Oryctolagus cuniculus: one gene and its partner. The protein of the gene in region 2 interacts with the protein of the main gene of each other region in a biochemical or structural test. Links are inferred from orthologs where the notes say so. Each region holds a gene or a part of one and is shown on either strand. Other genes may lie near its edges.

Region 1 (4,487 bases), on a different chromosome or scaffold from region 2:
TGACATTTGTCATATTCCAGAATGTGATTACACTCATGGCTCCCAGAGTGAGCACAAATCCTGGCAATGTGCTACAACCATGAAAGGAGTAAGTGAAAGGTTTGCTTCTATTTATTCCTTCATTTGGATAGATAGAAAGTAGCTCTTCTGAAGTGTGCTACTTGCTGCTTCTACCATTACAGTTGTATTATTATTGTTATTTTAAGGATAGTATGAATAAGTATTAATACCACTGCACTTCTAATTTTTATGGAGAACTGATATTCCAATGACCATGTCATTAATAAAAATATGAGGACTGGCTGAAAAATCACATTATCCTTCCTCATCTCCCCATCCCAAACACATGCACACAATAATTCATTTTGAAGATAATAAGAACTACACAAAGTACTTCTAACTGTGCCATGCCTTTACTCGCAGAACCCCATGAGATGATTTGAGACACTAAGTCTGATATGGAGAAACAAAGTGGGGTTGACTTCTTAGGAGGACATTTCCTGTGACTTGTTATTGAAGTGGGGATCAGGAAAGGATAAACCTTGCACAAGGCACTGCACAAGAGGCAAGATAAGAATTGTCAGCTCCCTGGACAAACTACTCAAGCCAAGGACATTTTACAAAACACAGATGCCTTGGACCATGAAGATGTCTTTTTCTTAAAATGGGCTCTTTTTCCGTGTATAAGGGTTTCCCAAAATCAGCATGGTAATTGGCAGTGTGGACAGCAGTGCTGTGTGATCTTGAAAAAGTCACCGAACCTCTCTAAGTCTCAGATTCTCATCACTAAAATTAGAGGGAAGGGCTATGTTGCTTAAGTTCCTTCCCATCACTATGGCTCATGATACAATATATCAGGCCTATTCTTCTATTAATCTGGTTTCTAATATATCCCAAAACTTCTATCCCCACCCTTACCTAACAATGCCCCTTCACCCTTCCTATACCCCTGAAAACTGAACTTAATGACACTGTCTGCAGATTTGTCCCCTTAATGAAGGGCAGAGAGGTGACACAGGGCAGGGGCCTGTGGCAAGTAGCACCCTCTGTGTCATTGGAGACAGACTGGCAAGGCTTGCAGCCACTGCCTCCTTTGGTCCCCGCCCACATACACATTTCCCACTGCTTCCCAAAGCTATTTCAAGGAATCCCTGGCAATGAGAAGAGGCAACTGAGAAGACCACACAATCCACCTCTCCTCTGTCTGCACCATAGTACTTTGGCCTTCTAGTGCTATTCCCTTGGAGGCGATAGTCAAATACACTAAGAAACTGGAAAAACAGAATGAATTATTTCAAAACAGTCACCAGAAATTTAAAGCGTTCAACTTGTCAACAAAAACGCTCTCTCATTTTGCAAACTATTGGCAATTTGGGACTAGTAAGTAATCCAGCTAGTGAACCTATGCTATAGAAGAAATAAATACTAAGCTGATTGTTCTCACAAAAGGCAGACAAGCTGTGTTCATGGCTATAACAATCTACACACAGCACCTCATGCAACTCTCCATAGAGGCCTTGGATGCCTAACTCCCCTAGGAGAGAGGAAGTTGCATATCACTCAGTTAATTTACTCTCCTAGCATCTGAAAGCAATATATTAATTATCCAAATGCATAAATTACTTCAGAATATATATATATATATACACACACACACATATATATATATATATATATATGAATGTATGAACCTCCAGGAGGGAACCAAAAGAACCCACTTCCAAAGCACCACTGAAATGAAGATCAACACAATCCCTTGGGGCAAGGTAGCTGGGAAACTGAGAGGGAAAATTAGCTCTAGCATCTTTCTGTATCCCAGTGCTCCCCACCTGTTCTCCAGCTTACATAAGCTCTTAAAACTATTCCCTTTCATGAGCCTGAGGTGAGAGCTTTCTCTGGCTGCTATCCAGTTGGTAACTGCACAAAACAGCACACACATGAACTCTCTCTGGCTTTCCATGTCTGCACTACATGTTATACACTGTCTTTCACACATGCTGTGCTCTTCAATAGAAAATAATCTGGAAGAGGGAAATTTTAAACAAATTTAAGCACACTGAAAACATCACTGTATATCCACCTGGTAACAGTCCCAGTTTTGTACTAATGCAAACAACAGACTTCAGAACACATTCTGATGAGTCTGTCTTTAGAGGTACTTTCGGAGTATACCAGAATAGACTGAAGTTCATATGGTATTACTTAAGTACTATATTGTTCCAATAAAAAGTCCCTTTAGAAAACATACCCACCCCCCAACCCTTATCCTCACCCTAAAAATAAGAACAAACAAAAGGGGGAAATGATTAAAAGCATTGTTTCTGATAAACTCCAGCTCTTGATAAGGTCATTTAGATGAGATATTCCACCATCTCTGCTTCAGGCTCTTGTCCCAGGATCTGAAGGGGTGCTTTTCTTTCCAGAGTATTGGAGTGGAAAACAGGGCCATCTGAATGAAAATAAGGTGTTGAAGATACTTATAAGGATATTTAAAAAGCTCAATTTTCTAGAAACAGACAGCATTAGAGCCCTCGTGGAGGTAAGGGTAAATTGAGCCTTGAGTGCCACCCCCTCACCCCCATTTACTTCTACTGGGAAAATGGCTTCTACTCATGCCCATTCCTGTCTCAGTGGAAGAGAAATCATCTGTAGACCCTCTCCCCTCCTCTAATGGCTCCCCATTACAACATGAAGGGCTCAGTCCAGATGACCATCTCTGCCTGAGCAGCAGGTACCCACAAATCAACCTGCGTTTTGAGAGCCGTACCAAAAGCTCCCTGCTGTAGAGAATTATTACCTGTCTTATCTGAATTGCAAGTCAAACTTGGTATAGACAAACGACGTGATCCAGAACCAGTGGCTGGACTTGCAGGAGCCTCAGCCTGAGCCAAAGCTGGAGCTGGAGCTGGAGATGCAGGAGGAGCCACAGTCGGAGCAGGAGTTGGTGCCTGAGTCTGAGTCGGAGCAGAAGCCTGAGCCACTGCTGGGGCCAGAGCCGGGGCTGGAACTGGAGCTAGAACCGGAGCCGGAGCAGCTGGAGCAACCTGAACTGCAACAGCAGCAACAGCAGCAACAGGAGCAAGAGCAGCAGCAGGAGCAGCAGTGGCGGTGGTGGCAGAGGCAGCAGCTGGCATCTGAGCAGCAGCAGCTGGAGAAGCAGCAACAGTAAGAGCAGCAGCAGTTGCTGGAGATGGGGCAGCAGCAACAGCAGTGGCAGCTGGAGCAACAGCAGCAGCCGCGACTGGAGCAGCAGCTACCATGGTGTTGGTGTTGGTGGCAGCAGTGGCAGTGTTGGCAGTGATGGCAGCAGCAGTGGCGGCAGCAGCAACTGGAGCAGGAACAGAGATGGGAGTAACAGCTGCAGGCTTGTTGGGTTCCGGTCCACGTTCAGTTTGGGTGCTGCAGTCTCGGCTGCCTGTCTTGGAGTGAGCCGAGAGCAGGGGAGTGGAGGGGGGCACAGGCGAAGGTGTGGAAGGGACAGACTCAGCACGGTAGTCTCCACCCAGGAGAATGCCTGCAAATGAACAAGGGAGAGAGGTTAGGAAACAATACAGTATTCTAATCCATACATCTGATTATCTGTTTCTCTTCAGGACTTCAGGAGAAATTTGAGTGGGCCTAAATTCTTAACCTTTTTGCCTCCAGCAAACTCAGGAGTTGGCTTATCAGCATTTTCCACCATGGCTAATGGTTTCTTCTAGATTTGGAAGATCCCTGGTCCTCATTATCCAACTCCCAGCACAACACATTAAACAGTGAAGTGTTCTGAGTATCTGTTTTATTTTTCCCAATGGTGATTAGAAAGAATTCTTCCACTCGGTTCCACTTATAACCAACACCACACATTACCAGAGAGCTGGAAATGACCAGAGGAAGAAGTCTTAAGACACAGATAAGTCTGCTATTAATTGTGTGATCTATGGTTCTGAACATGAGCATGGTTCCCAAATGCTTTCTCTGGTCTAAGCAAAGGAACTTGCAAGTGTCAGAGGACCAAGAAAGGTGAAAAAGCATCACAAAGAGCTAAAGTAAATAAATATACATGACTCCCTTCATCATGCTTTAAAAATGTACCATGGTATCTACAATACTTTGGAGGTTTTGATTAGTGGGGATGGAAGGGACAGGCTTGGAATGGAAAAAGTACATTCTGTTCTCATATCAGAATGTTCTGGTAACAAAAACCTGCGACCCAGATTGATTTTGATTAAGTAGAATGCTGGGTCGTCCTCTTGTAGGGGAGAAAAGAACAAAGAAATGCTGGAATTTTGAAATTGTGAATGGCACAAGAGGCACATGGGCTTTGGACATGGACAAGGATTCTGTGTAGCAAAGACCAAATTGAAGAAATTTTTAAGAGGCCACTGATGCTATCTCCCTTCCCACCCAAGAACTTAGAATTCTTATCTTCTCAGGCCCTGGCCTCTTTAATTGTTCTCACCATGAGACTTCCCAGTGTGGCAGAGCTCTACAATATGTAGTTAACC
Region 2 (5,533 bases):
ATGGGGTGAAATATACATTAGATTCAGGTTAGTTGTGACAGAGGACCCCTTTTGGAGGGGTTATGAGAATTCTTCACAAAGGCCCTGTGACATTCCAAGATCTAAAATGTAGCAAAAGTGAAACCCACTACCTTAAGGAAAGACACCTAACACACATCACACTATTTCTTTAGGGAGAAAAGGATGTCACTGCAGACTATAAAATAGAGTGACAGACAATTCCAAAATGATCAGGGGCCACCCCCACGCAAACAGGGGTCTGGGTGTGGACAGTGGAGGTGGCATGCCCAAGACAATACCTTTCTGGTAGTATTTGGAATTGTGAGTCCACCTGAACCCAGTGCAGAGGCCGAAATCTGTCAGTTTGATGTGACCATCCAGATCTATCAGAATGTTGTCAGGCTTGATGTCCCGGTGGATAAAGCCCATCTTGTGGACGCTCTCGATGGCCAACGTCAACTCTGCGATGTAGAACCGGGCCAGGTGCTCGGGGAAGACCTCCATGCGGATCAGCAGGCTCATCATGTCCCCGCCAGGGATGTAGTCCATCACAAAGTACAGGCTGTCTTTGTCTTGGAAGGAGTAGTAGAGTTTCACCACCCACTCGTTGTCGGCCTCAGCCAGGATGTCCCTCTCGGCCTTGACATGGGCCACCTGGTTCCGGTTCAGCACATCCTTCTTCCTCAGGGTCTTCATGGCGTACAGAGCGTGAGTGTCCACCTTACAAGCAAGGCACACTTCTCCAAAGGCACCGATGCCCAGGGTTTTGATTTTCACAAACATGGACTTGTCCATCTTGGCCCTCTTGAGCCTGTTGTAATTGGACTCCTTCTGGTAGAGGATCTTCCTCATCTGCTCCTGCTCAGCTTCGCACAGTCCAGCCTGTGTTGAAGGAAAGGGAGGAGGAGCCATGTTACAGGGGGTCCCAGCACAGCAAGCCACAGCAGGGGGTGGGCTGGGGGCTCCCCAGAACCGAGAGGGCTCTAACTTAATTCACACAAAACACCTTAGAATGGGCCTTATACACTACAAGCAAGATAATATTTGGCCTTCTCCTTTATAGCCACAGCCAGCCACAAATCTGGAATCCAAGGTAAGAAAAGAATAGTTCTTTCTCTGGGTGAGTTTAAGCTCCAGAAAGGAGGGGTGCTTCCATTAGGATGGGACCACAACATCCCTGAAACTCCAAGAGCAATCTAATATTTTAATAGCCCAGGGAAAAATGAGATGGCAGGAAAGAAAAGGTCAGTGAATGCTAGACAGCAGGAAGTAAGAGCACAGATTCGATTTTCAGAATTACTGGCCCTGTGTGACTTTAAAGTTAGTGTTCCATTTTAATTTGAATAATTTATTAATAATTAACCTTCTGTAGCACTCTAGTGCCAAACATTATTAGCTACTTAGGGCATACATGAATCACTACTAGATATATTTTTCCTTAAATTTATAAAAAACCCAAACCTTGTTTCTATTTTTCAAAGTGTTGTGTTACTATGCAAATTTTGATGGTTTCTTTTTTTAAAGGTTTATTCATTTATTTAAAAGGCAGAGCCAGAGGGACAACGTCTTCCATCTGCGGGTTCACTCCCCAAATGGCCGCAAGGGCCGGAGCTGAGCCAATCAGAAGCCACAAGGAGGAGTTTCTTCCTGGTCTCCATGAGGGTGCGCACTTGGGCCATCTTCCCCTACTTTCCCAGGCCATCGCAGAGCACTGGATCGGAAGTGGAGAAGCTGGGATTCAAACCTAATCCCACATGGGATGCCAGCACTGCAGAAGGAGGCTCTTCCCACTACCCCACAGCACCGGGCTCCTTGCTGAGTTTTTTAAAGAATAAGGACACACATGATAACCCTATTACGCACAGCCATCCCTCAGGAGAAAGGGGGTGGGAGAGGGAAGTAGCAACATCTGTGACTTCTCTAACACACCTGTGAGAAGGGTTAGTCTAAAGTGGGAGCAGAAAAGGGACCCTGCTGTTACCAACTGAGGGGCGCACGTGGGGCAAACGGACAGAAGAAGCGGGGAATTACTTTGGCCATCTCTTGCTCCAGCTGCATCCTCCGGTTCACCTTCTGCTGGTAGGTTTTTATGACATTCTCCACGTGCTGCTCCATGAAGAACTTAAAGGCATAAGGTGAGTAGCTTTTGATGCGCGACTCTCGCTTCTCCTCGTCTTTGCTGTTTTTGCGGACAGGGACGGGGGAAGTCTGGATCTGCTTTTTGTCCTTCCCGCATTTGTCCCCCTTTGCGCCCTTGTGGCTCTTGTCTGCCCTGTCGGCTGGCTCGGCGGCTGTGCCCCCTCGGAGGCTCTGCTCCACACCCGCACACAGGCCATCCAGGTCGTACTGCTCCGACTTGCTGGGCAGCAGCAGGTGCTTCGGGTAGGGTGGGGGCGGGCACCTGCGGTCGGGACTGCCCAACTCCAGATCCAGCGGGTAGGGGCTGCCGAGGGCCAGGGCGTGCTCGTCCTTAGCGTCCAGCCCGTCTGCGGTCGGGGCGGGCGCGGGCACCCAGGCCGGGTGGGACGGCCCCACCGCCGTCTGCGGTTCGGGCCTCAGCACCCGCACACTCTTCACAGGGTGCAGGATGTGCGCCGCCGTGACGGCCGTGACGGTGTTGGGAGCAGGCAGGGAGGGCTCGGCCTGGACGGGAGCGCTGGCCCGCGGCTGCTGGCTGTTGAAGGAGTTGGTCCTGCTGGGCGCGCGGCCGTCGGGCCGAAAGCTCGCGTGCGGCCGTGGCGCGTCCAGACCAGGCTTCTGCAGGGAGTCGCGGCGGGCCAGGGAGGTGGCCGGCCAAGCCTGCACAGGGGCGCCGCCCAGCTCGTACAGGTCTGCGTTGAGGCTGTTTCTGGAGGGGGCAAGCAGGCTCTGCGGGGGGCTGTCGCCTGCGAACATCTGGCCCCTGGCGCTCATCACGTGCAGCTGGTGGGCCGCGGGGCTGGCCTGCTTGTGGTGCGGGTGTGGGGCGTAGAGCGCGGCGCCTGGGGCTGGAAAGGCGAGGCCGGCGCCCGGCGGGCCCCCCTGGCCCTTGGCAGTCAGGCCCGGGTAGACCGCAGCCTCGGGCGACGCCTTGCTCTGGAAGGAGGGGCTGCGCTTCACGCCGTAGGCCAGCGGCTCCCCGGGCACCAGCAAGTGCGCGCGGCCATAGTGCGCGCCGGGCAGCGGCAGCGCGGGTCCCGCAGCGCCGGGGCCCGAGAAGTGCGGCCCCGCCGCCTCCACGCCCGCTGCTGCGTAGCCTTTGGGAGGGTGCGGGGGCCCCGGCACGCCGTGGGGCGCTGCCCCGGGGAAGAGGAAGTCCACGTAGGGCCGCGGCACCTCATCCAGCGTCGCGGGGCCCTCATAGGCCGCGCCGCCCAGCGGATGGTAGGGTGGGAACGCGTCACCTGTGCCTTCTAAGCTGGGCCTCCGCGTCACCGTCACCGGGGTAGGCACCAGGCCCTTTCCTGCAGGAGATGGAAAGACGGAATCAGTGGGCCCCAGCGCTCTGGGTCCCTACCTGGCAATGCCTCAGGGGGCCGAGAGCCTCACAGGGCCTTCATCCCAGGGGCTGCGTTGTGGACCAGTGGCCGCAAAAGTGGCCCAGTGCAGGGTTGGGCTGGAGTCCAGAGGGCACCGGGAAGGGGCAAGGCAGTCCGAGGGCAGTGTCCCAGTCCTGGGGCGGGGCAGGGCGGGGACGCTCGGACCAGCGGCCTCTTTGCCTTGCTGAATTGAGCTGGGGCTGCTGGGTTTACTGCCACATAGTTCAAATGCCCACTTTTCTTTTTCCTATTTTTGAAATTGAAGCTGTTCTGCCACCTCCTTTATTAAAACTATGAAGCACCCATAAAATCTCTACAAATAACCAGATGGGTTTCAGCTGCGACTTGCTTAATCCTGACCTCCCTGCTGTGCAAATCTCTCATTTGACACAGACACGGGGACGGAAGGGCAGAAGCTGCTCCCCTCTGTGCCAGCCCTGCTCTACCCTGCTTGCTTCTGCAAAGACCTGTGCTGGGTTGTGGGGAGACCCCTCCCGGGGGGAACAACAGGCAGAGCCAAGGCCCAGCCAGCGGACATGGTGGGGCACAGGCAAAGCGGAGCTGATCTGGCCTGCAGGGAGATGGGCAGGGGAGGACGCCCATCCCCCCAGACCCAACTGTAAGGATCACACACAGACGCCAGCCAGGGACTGGGTAAGGAAACTCCTGGTCTCCAGAGAACAGAAATGGTGTCCTCGTCACAGTGAGACACAGCCTTCAAGGCATGTGACACCTCCCACCACACCAAGTGTTCATTCCCATGACTCTTTTATCACACCCCAGGGACCGCAGGTGCCCCTGGGCCTCCTGAGGGCCTCTGAAGGGAAACCCAGCACTCGGACAAGGCCCACTATCCTGCAGCACTTGCCATTTGGCACCTGCTCTCAGGGGCTCCAGTGTGAAAAAAGGTGTGCTTTCAAATTAATGAACTAAACCCCCCCCCTTTTTTTTTTGACAGAGTGGACAGTGAGAGAGAGACAGAGAGAAAGGTCTTCCTTTGCCGTTGGTTCACCCTCCAATGGCTGCTGTGGCTGGCGCACTGCGCCAATCCGAAGCCAGGAGCCAGGTGCTTCTCCTGGTCTCCCATGGGGTGCAGGGCCCAAGGACCTGGGCCATCCTCCACTGAACTCCCTGGCCACAGCAGAAAGCTGGACTGGAAAAGGAACAACCAGGACAGAATCCGGTGCCCCGACCGGGACTAGACCCCGGGGTGCTGGCACCGCAGGCGGAGGATTAGCCTAGTGAGCCGTGGCGCCGGCCTAAACCTCTCTTTTCCAAGACTCTTCCACAGGCCCACAAGAAAGTAAAAGAACATTTTTATTCTTAGGTTGCTGTATTTTTAGATCTTTCAGGGAAAAAAACAAATTCCCCAGGGAAGAAGTACTTCAGGTACTTCAGATGAGGTGGGGTGGGGTGGGGTGGCCACCCGAGATCTGCTGCCTCTACCGGGGCATGGCCGGCTCAGCTCACCCACTACTGGAAGGAGGCGACTGGCCAACAGATGGCACTGACCAGGCCCAGCTGCACTTCTTTTGTGCTCCTGAGTCCCAAATCCTCCTCACCCCCTACACTGAGGTCTGGGCTCACCTGGGGAGGTCTGCTTAATCACTCGCACTATCTGCTCGTTCCTCGGGTCCAGGTAGCCCATCTTACTGATGTACTCCAGGGCGGCTTCTATACTCCTGCTGCCGGTCTGCTTGAGCGCTCTGCCCGCCATCTCCTGGAAGAGAAGCGCGGAGATGTGAGTGCACGCCATCGTCACTGCAGCACACAGCCACCGGCGGCTCCCATCCCCGACTCGGCCCGAGTGCCTGCCATCGTCACTGCAACACACAGCCACCGGCGGCTCCCATCCCTCACTCTGGCTCAAACCACACTTTGCCCTCCTTGGAGAGGTGCTGCAGACAACCCTCAGAGCAAGTAAGGGGGCTACAGGACCTGCACTCTGCAGGAGACTGATGACAGAAGCCCAGCACACACCGCGCCACAGACTGGTTAGCCTGGGAAAAGAACAT

What was found. The genes of interacting proteins can lie anywhere in the genome.
Region 1: of the proteins of LATS2 (region 2) and AMOT, one has a biochemical effect on the other in vitro, tested with the Homo sapiens proteins (3 studies listed by BioGRID). The link is inferred for Oryctolagus cuniculus from reciprocal best matches to the Homo sapiens genes LATS2 and AMOT.

What each region holds. Positions count from the first base shown.
Region 1 is NC_091453.1:80,575,646-80,580,132, reverse strand, and holds part of AMOT (angiomotin), read right to left. Parts: intron 3,515-4,487; coding exon 2,798-3,514; intron 2,450-2,797; coding exon 2,352-2,449; 3' UTR 1-2,351.
Region 2 is NC_091440.1:91,908,763-91,914,295, forward strand, and holds part of LATS2 (serine/threonine-protein kinase LATS2), read right to left. Parts: intron 5,239-5,533; coding exon 5,106-5,238; intron 3,444-5,105; coding exon 2,032-3,443; intron 883-2,031; coding exon 300-882; intron 1-299. UniProt on the Homo sapiens protein: Negative regulator of YAP1 in the Hippo signaling pathway that plays a pivotal role in organ size control and tumor suppression by restricting proliferation and promoting apoptosis.